2 linked regions of the Caenorhabditis elegans genome follow. The protein of the gene in region 2 purifies or fractionates together with the protein of the main gene of each other region. This does not show direct contact. Each region holds a gene or a part of one and is shown on either strand. Other genes may lie near its edges.

Evidence for each region. The genes of interacting proteins can lie anywhere in the genome.
Region 1: the proteins of ubl-5 (region 2) and dylt-1 fractionate together in Caenorhabditis elegans (co-fractionation; one large-scale study listed by BioGRID). This does not show direct contact.

What each region holds. Positions count from the first base shown.
Region 1 is NC_003279.8:7,299,180-7,303,161, reverse strand, and holds dylt-1 (DYnein Light chain (Tctex type)), read left to right. Parts: upstream 1-2,248; 5' UTR 2,249-2,267; coding exon 2,268-2,309; intron 2,310-2,411; coding exon 2,412-2,619; intron 2,620-2,739; coding exon 2,740-2,810; 3' UTR 2,811-3,097; downstream 3,098-3,982. Other genes in the region: Inositol monophosphatase ttx-7, read left to right, coding at 193-270, 473-609, 723-827, 936-1,090, 1,135-1,255, 1,736-1,997; BAH-4 (Glycosyltransferase family 92 protein F13G3.3), read left to right, coding at 3,200-3,288, 3,350-3,574.
Region 2 is NC_003279.8:5,606,679-5,610,942, forward strand, and holds ubl-5 (Ubiquitin-like protein 5), read right to left. Parts: upstream 2,164-4,264; 5' UTR 2,159-2,163; coding exon 2,046-2,158; intron 1,357-2,045; coding exon 1,248-1,356; 3' UTR 1,148-1,247; downstream 1-1,147. Other genes in the region: tns-1 (Tensin homolog), read right to left, coding at 807-839; vha-10 (putative V-type proton ATPase subunit G), read right to left, coding at 2,910-3,008, 3,247-3,381, 3,430-3,576; trpp-8 (Trafficking protein particle complex subunit 8), read right to left, coding at 3,930-3,980.

The DNA of each region.
Region 1 (3,982 bases), 1.7 Mb from region 2:
GTCTCTGCGTCTCGTGTCTCCGAGTGATCTCTAATTTTCTCGCTCCGTCTGCTCGCGTCGTTGGAAAAACGACTCTGGCGCGAGTTAGTTTTCCTAATAGACGGCTTCTCCGTTTAGCTTCTTTAATTTATTTTATTGTTTTTCGGCAAAGTGGTTCCCTTCAGCTCTTTATTCATTGATTTTAAGTTTTAGATGGTGTTCCAACCAATCCACGAGGAAGAGCAAGTTTTCGTCGACTACGCCATTGAGTTGGTTAAAAAAGCTGGAACGGTGAGTTGAATTCGGATTAAAAAATCAAACTGTTTCCTAAAACAACAACGTCGTTATTATCTTTGTCTTATTTTTGTTAATTTTACAAATATGCACATTTAAATCAAATGCGTAACTCGAAAAACAACATTCTCTATTCCTCAGTTACGAAACAAATTTTATTATTTGAAAAAACATCAATATTCGAAAAAAACATTTTCAGCTCGTCCGTACCGCGTTTGACTCCCCGGAAAGCAAGGTTGACACAAAATCATCGAATACTGATTTGGTGACTGAAACTGACCAAGCTGTTGAAAAGCTTCTCATCGAAGGGCTCTCCGAGAGATTCAAAGGACATAGGTAAGAGCAAGGAATTCCCACGGTCCGCTCGATTTCACTCATTGTCTCCATGACAACCAGTTGGACTTTCTTTTTCAATCGAGTATTTACATAAATTTACTATTTTGATTCAGATTCATTGGCGAGGAATCTGTAGCCGGAGGTGCGAAAATTGAATGGACTGATGCACCAACATGGATTATTGATCCGATTGATGGAACTACTAACTTTGTTCATAGGTAAGATTTTTTTTAAATCGGACTCTTCAAATAATGGCAAATCGCGTTATTTAATTTCTAATTTGGACTCAAATTTTTCTCGAAAAACAAATTCTTATGTTATTATAGAATCCCTATGATCGCAATCTGCGTTGGACTTGCAATCAAAAAACAAATTCGTGCTGGAATCGTATACAATCCAATCACTAATGAACTTTATCTCGCTCAACTCGGAAAGGGAGCTTTCAAAAATGGATTTCCAATCCGAGCATCAAAGAATCAATGTAAGTAATTGCACTTTTCTTGTCATGCACCCTGCTTTTTGAAGTGCTTTCAAAGGGAGTTCTCTGTCAATCTCTCGGTCTGCATAATCGTGTTCAGTTCGGCGATCGCTGGCTCGACATTGCCCAGTCAAACATGCGAAATCAAGTGATGGCTGGTGTGCGAGGGTTTGTTTTAATTTTTTGGTCTAAAATTGATTACTTTTTTACAAAAAATATACCTCCACACTTCCCGCGCTGGTTTTGCACGTTTTACTTTCAATTTTATTTACATTCACATAGAAACGTTGCAAATTCCAGTCATTGCGGAAAGTGTGCTCATACTTCAACTTGGCTCAATTCGATCTCCTGTTATGCAGAAATCATTTGTTGATTCTTACAAGACTGTTATGTTCGACAAACAATGTCACGGGTACTTATAAATATTTTTTATATTCTTGTCGAAATCTAGTGACTTTCTTGAACTGTGCGTTTGCAAATTTTTTGAAAGTTTTACTAAAATTGAGAAATGGATAAGATGGAAAAGTTAGATGTTGGATGGACAAAGTTTAATATGAAAAAAATCACGAGGATGATGTGATATTATTATTTTTAATATTGTTATACATAATAAAAGTTATTTGAAAAAAATCCAAGTTTTTTTTTCAGACACCGTTCGTTTGGCTCCGCCGCGATCAACATGGTGATGGTTGCACAAGGAAGTTGCGATGGATATGTTGAATACGGGATTCACGCTTGGGATGTTGCTGCTCCTTCTATCATTGTCACAGAAGCCGGAGGTGTTGTCACTGATCCAACTGGATCCCCATTTGACGTCATGTCAAGAAAAGTTCTCTGCGCTGGAACAGCTGAACTCGGACGCGATTTATCTGCATGCCTCACTCATGTCGATTTCGAGCCGGAAGCCTAAATATATATTTAACTATTTATTTTCAAAACTCACATATTGTGACATAACATTCCTACCATAACATGCATTATCTGTATTTCCAATTTAATATTAGTTTTTTGATTTTATTTTCTAGTCGTATGTATTCTCGTTTTATGAGAATAAATTATTTAAAGATGTTTATATCTTAATTTCTGATACTTCAATTGCCGTTTGAGCGCACTTGATTTATTTATACTGTCTCTTTTTTAATAATTAAACTCAATATTCAGCTCTCACAAGCTCAACATCATGGCTTTGGCAGAGGAGGACGTTCACATGATCATCAAGCAGGTACCGATATTTTATATGTCTACTGTATTAATTCTTTGAAAAACTATAATTTTTGAGTTGATTATTGTTTATTCACATTCTCGTAATCCAATAATCTTTCAGGTACTCGACGAGGTTGTAGGCGCAAGCACCCAGTATACCCACAAGGACAGTGTTCAGTGGAATCAGAAGGCCGTCGAACAAATAACGAAGAAGCTAGTGGCAGCGGGAAAACCATACAAATATGTGGTTACCTCGTCGTTCCTTCAGATCTCGAGCGGTTCCGGTCTCAATGTTAGCACGATTTCCTACTGGAATAAAGTCACGGATTGTGAGTTAACATTTTGTATTAAAACATTAAATAATAAAGAGGGAAATAAATTTATTACTCACAAAGTTCTGATTTTGAAAGTTGGTATTCAACTTATAGCTCAAAAAATCTCATTTTCAGCCTCGTACATGTACCGTTGGGAAGCCAAAACAATGCTTGCAATCGTCTATGTTTTTGCAATTGCAATTTAACAATCCACAGCTTCATCTTATATGTCTACTCTGGTTTTCCTCGTTTACCGCCAATTCTCCCCTTATTTCTGATTGTTTTTTTCTTCCCCATTCATCACACACTATCATGTTTTATATTCAGACCTATTACCTGTCCAGAAAAACTGAGCTGAAAAAATCCGGACGAGCAGCTCCTTCACATTCAAAATCTTCCATCATTTCCCCCACTCAATTCATTTGTTTTGTCTTTGATTTTCAAATTTTTTGCCTTATTATTTTATTGCTAAATTAATGAAAACTGTTACTCCTCATTTTGACCGTCGCACTCATTGAAGGTAGTTCGAGATTAGATGTTCAGATAACTTGCGGGACGCGTTAGGACACAAAACAAGTGCGTCAGATCAGCCAAAATGCTTCCACGAATAATTCCATCGGTTCTGTCTGTGGTATTACTTTTTTCGTTTTTATTTTTTGTAACGGCAGTCTTACTTCAATTTATGTAAGTATTGATAGTTAAAAATTATCACCGTTCAAAAATGATTGAAACGATAAATTTCCAGTCGAATCGATTCACCAGATCTTGAAAATGAAGAAGTATTTCATTCGGCACCTTATGATATATTCATTTATTCTGCATTTTATTATAATAAATCAAAAAGTCTCGGAGATTCTTCAATGGTTATTCTGATGACTGCTGATTTTGAAGTTTTGGAAAAAGTTAAAAATCTTGAACTTTTGGGCATAAATGACACGAGTCGAGCTATGACATCTGCTGAATTGGAAAGGTTTGTGTATTTAATTTCTTATTTTTGTGTTGATTCGAAGTTTTTGAGCTTTTCGGCACCAATTAAATAAGATTTGAAAATTCAATGAAAAAATTCAAAAAAAAAACCAAGAAAGGGGCGGAGCTTATTCTGAAATTTTGCAGGATCGGTAATCAACTATTTCCTATGATTAAACCGTTCAAAACTAAAGGCAGAATAATCTAATACCTTGGTTTTTTTTGAAATTTTTGCATAAAAGTTCCATGTACCTAATAGATGTTTTTCAAACCTGGAAACAATTCTGGCTATTTCTGAAAAATACATAAAACAATACAAAGTAGATGGTAAATCGAGAAAATGGAAGAGTGGCCGAGAAAATATGCGAATCTCGGTCATCTACCATCTGCAGATGCATCTGTCGATTTAAGA
Region 2 (4,264 bases):
GATGGGTTACTGTACTTCTTTAAGGCGCACGCAATTTTGCCCTACGTCTCATGAGTTTCTGAAAATAGTCGATTTCTGAAAAAAAAAAAGTTGTTCTTTTTCCATTCTCTATCTCACTTCTCCACTATTTTGCTTGGAATGTGCTCAGAACCTCACGATTGTTTCAAGCCTCTTCCGTTGGGAGGTAGGGTGTCCACTATTTGGAAGCCATCCAAAACGAAATAGTACTGGAGACGAAGAGACGCAGAGAAAAGGTAAACGGGCCGCCCGTACTGTTTTTACGCGCTCCGAAGGGACACATAGATAAATAAAAAAGAAAATGGAAAAGAAAAGATGATGAGCCCTCCGAAGAGAGCTTATGTCCTTCTTATTTTACTACTGTTGAAGTAAATACAAGGGAATGACAAGAGAGAGAAAAGAACTAAAAGGAAATGTTTTCAAAAGTGATTAACATTGGTTTTTATTAGGTTTTATAAACTGGAAATAGAATACAGTTATACAATTGAGATTATTTCTGAATTTTCAATTAAAGTTTTTATTTTAAACAAAACTTTAAAAAATAGCTATTTAATTCAAAAGCTGTGGTGACCAAAAAAACGAACGGATAATCCAGATTTTTATTGTGAAACGAGGTCAATACGACTGCTTATTGATACCATATGTTTGAATATTTCTATTTAGAGAAACTTTTTTTTTAACTTTTGAGATATTTTTTTATTAATTTTCAAAAGTTGTTTTATTTTTGTATTCTATAAATATTTCATTTTAAGCTTTCGGGATTCAAACTTTTCAATTTAAAAACGTACCCTTGAAGCACAGCACAGAGCTGCAGCAGCCATTGCCCTTGGTCTGAAATGTCTTTTAGAAGTAATATTTTTGAAAATTCAAAAAAAAAACATCTGCAAAAATTAACTATCCACTGATTTTTCTCTATCCACACTAAACTGTTTCGCGCAAACACATTGATAGGCGAAGAGAATTAGAGAGAAAAAGAGAAAAAATCGGACAAAATCTTTTGGGTCGAACAAATGGGCGGAGCCTACTCGGGTGGGAGCGAAGAAAGAGGGAGTGGTCAAACAAGACGGCAGAAATTAATGGGGTGGAAGAATGAATATAAGATGTTTTTAAAAGTGCATTTAAATCAAGAAAGTGTTGAAATTTATTCGAAGTCAAAAAAAATTAAATTGAAATTCATGAAAAGTTGAAAAGTAAATAATTGTTTAAAAAATGAAATGAATTCTGATGAATCATTGGTAGTAGAGCTCGAAATTGAATCCCTCGTGAATCTCGTAATCCATCAATGTGATATGATCCTTGTAAATGGTGTACCACTTTTTCAACACGATCTTTTCCCATCTGAAATTTAATTGATTTTTTTTTATTAAACAATAAAAAATGTATATTTCATCACCAAGAATGGCGGTCGAAATTTATGATCAAATTACAAAAAAATCAATTATTTAATAAAACACAGGGCTGGGAGGCAAGTTTTTTTTTGCAAAGTCGGAAATTTTTCGTTTTGCAATTGTTGTAAATTTTTAAATTTTTATTATAAATTCTGCAAAATTAAATGCACTATTTTAATGTCCTAGAACTATTTTGACATGCAAGTAAAATCTATGAAAATGTTATTAATGTTTTTTCTCATGTAAAATATCTTGGAAAACTTTGGGCAAATCGGCAAATTGCCGTTTTTCAAATTTTCAATTTGTTTCTAATATATAAAACATACGAAAATAACATATGCGAATAGCCGCATGAGATGGCAAAACACAGAAAAATTGTATTTTAAAACGCGATTTCCTAGCTCGAGATCATTTTAATAACGACTTTTTGTGCCATTTTTGATTTTTTTTAGTTTTTAAGTTCTTTTTTTCCTTTCAAACGTTTTAACTTCTAACTTCTAAAGTCTATAAAAAAGCTAAATTCTTTTTTTTTCAATATAATTGATTTTCAAGTTTAAGAATTCAGAAAAAAAGATTGTGGGATCATCAGTCAATTTCAAAAAGATTATCAAATTCAAAAAGGTAATTTTCAAATCTCACCGTGTTCCAGTTTGTGCAGCGATCAACTTCTTCAAATCTCCAATTGTATCTGATGGATTGCACTTGATTCGTACTTTTTTTCCGAGTCGATCGTTTACTGTGATTTCAATCATTTTTCCTGAAAGGTCAAACAATTATGTATAATTTAAAATATTCACAAATTTCTTAAGAAAATACATGTATTTTGCAAGAAAGCAATGAAAATTCGGTATAGAAAAACATTAATGCAATTGCGCAATAAATAAATATAACTATTTCGAATGTACGTAAAAACACACAACTCGACGCGCAAATGCAGACTTGCAATGTAATCAGTAAACTTAAAGGCGCATGCACCAATTATTTTTCAAGAACTCAATTCTCGCGGCGAGACTCAACCCTTTGAAACTTAAAATTAAAACTTACTTTTTTTATTTGAGCGTATTTAAAAACGAACTTTTTTAAACATAAACTGCTTAAATTTTGCTATTTTTTCCAAAAATTAATCTCGGAATTATAAAAAAGCGCAAGTATGGTAAAATCTGCAGTTTTTGAACATAGCGTTTCACACTTGCGAAAAACCTCTTCTGAATACGTTTATTGATTAATTCGTAGAGAAAGAATAATTTCCAGTTTATAATCAGCTCTATAAAACCTTTATTCGACGAAATACTTTGACGTATAAGCTTTTTCTTTGTAAATAGTATACAATACGTCGTCACAGAAAAAAAAGTGACGACTATAATTTTTTAATTGAAAATGGAGAATTCTACAGAATTGGTTAGAAATTGATGGGAGAGGGATATCACATCATAAAAGTAAGGGGCGGGACTTAGCGAAAGTTGGAATGATCAGAATTGTCAGAGATTAAAGAAAACGAAAAGTTTAGGCAGCGAACTGTCCGTGAAGTTTCTTCTGGAGAGTCAAGTTATGATGGAGCTCTGGCTTGATGTCGCAAACGAGTTGAAGGAGACGGACAATGACCTGAAATTAACGGATTTTATTGAGATATTATGCAACTTTCGAGAGTGTGAGCCAAAAATGTGTATGTGCCGTTTTACAATAACTATATTTTAATTTGGTGACAAATATAGAAATTCAATAAAATTATTTTAGAACATTTTATTTAAATTCGAGAAATTTTTTTTGAAAGTTCTCCAGTAAATATTTTGCAAAGTGCAAAAGATTTCCCAAAGTTGTGTGGAAATTTGTTCAAACTCACAGCTTGCTTGTTTCCAGCCACAGATTGCTTCATTCCACTGATTTGATCCTCAGTATCACGACGAATCTTGCTCTCAATATCTTCTTTGGTTCCCAAGTATTGTTGTTCAAATGCCTTGAACTCTGCCTCGCGTTGCTGAATAATTAGTTTTTTAAAATTTAAATTAAAATCAATATTTATTACCTGCTTGTACTTCTCCACCTCAGCTTGAGCCTCTTGCTTGGCCTGCTTCGTTCTCTGCAACTTTCTCTTACGAGCTTCGTTGATCTTCTCAGCGGCACGTTTCTCAGCGGCCAAAAGTTGCTGAATTCCCTGGGTTTGTGAGGCCATTTTAAGGTTTTCGGTACTGAAAATGATTTAATTATTTTCACAGGATTTCGTGATTATTCTTAAGATGTACATATAATAATTGGAAAAGAACCGAGTCAGCACAAGACAAGAAAAATCAATAAATTTTGAGAATTTATGCATAAAATTATAAGAAAAATGAATAAATACGAATAGAACTGAAACTAAAATATTGAAATAAAAATAACACATAAATTTTACATGAAAGATGGGCGATTTTTGAGGCAAATATCAAAGGGAAGTTTAGAAAGGGACTAAACCCGTTGAAAAAAGCGATTCTTGAGTAGAATATCACAGGAAGATGTGGAAAATGTGTGTAAATGATTTGAGATACTTCAGACAACTGTATATGATGACGATTTGACGACCGATAGCACACTCGGAACCTGCAAAGGGCGAAAATCAGTTGGCAAAAAGAGTCAGATTGTGGTCTTTGTTCAGAGATGTGCAAACACCGTCTCATTCAGAATTGCGGACAGGGCAAAATAGTTGACGCGCAAAGTTTTTATGCAATAGCCTCTTTCGATAAACTTTTCGCCAAAAATAAGGTGCCCGTTCTCGACATGCCAAATTTTTATTACATGCGTGTCCCTTTAAAGAGTACTGTAATTGCAGTTTTTCGTTTTTTTTTCTGTTAAAATTCATGGTTTTTGTCGATTTGCGCCAGTTA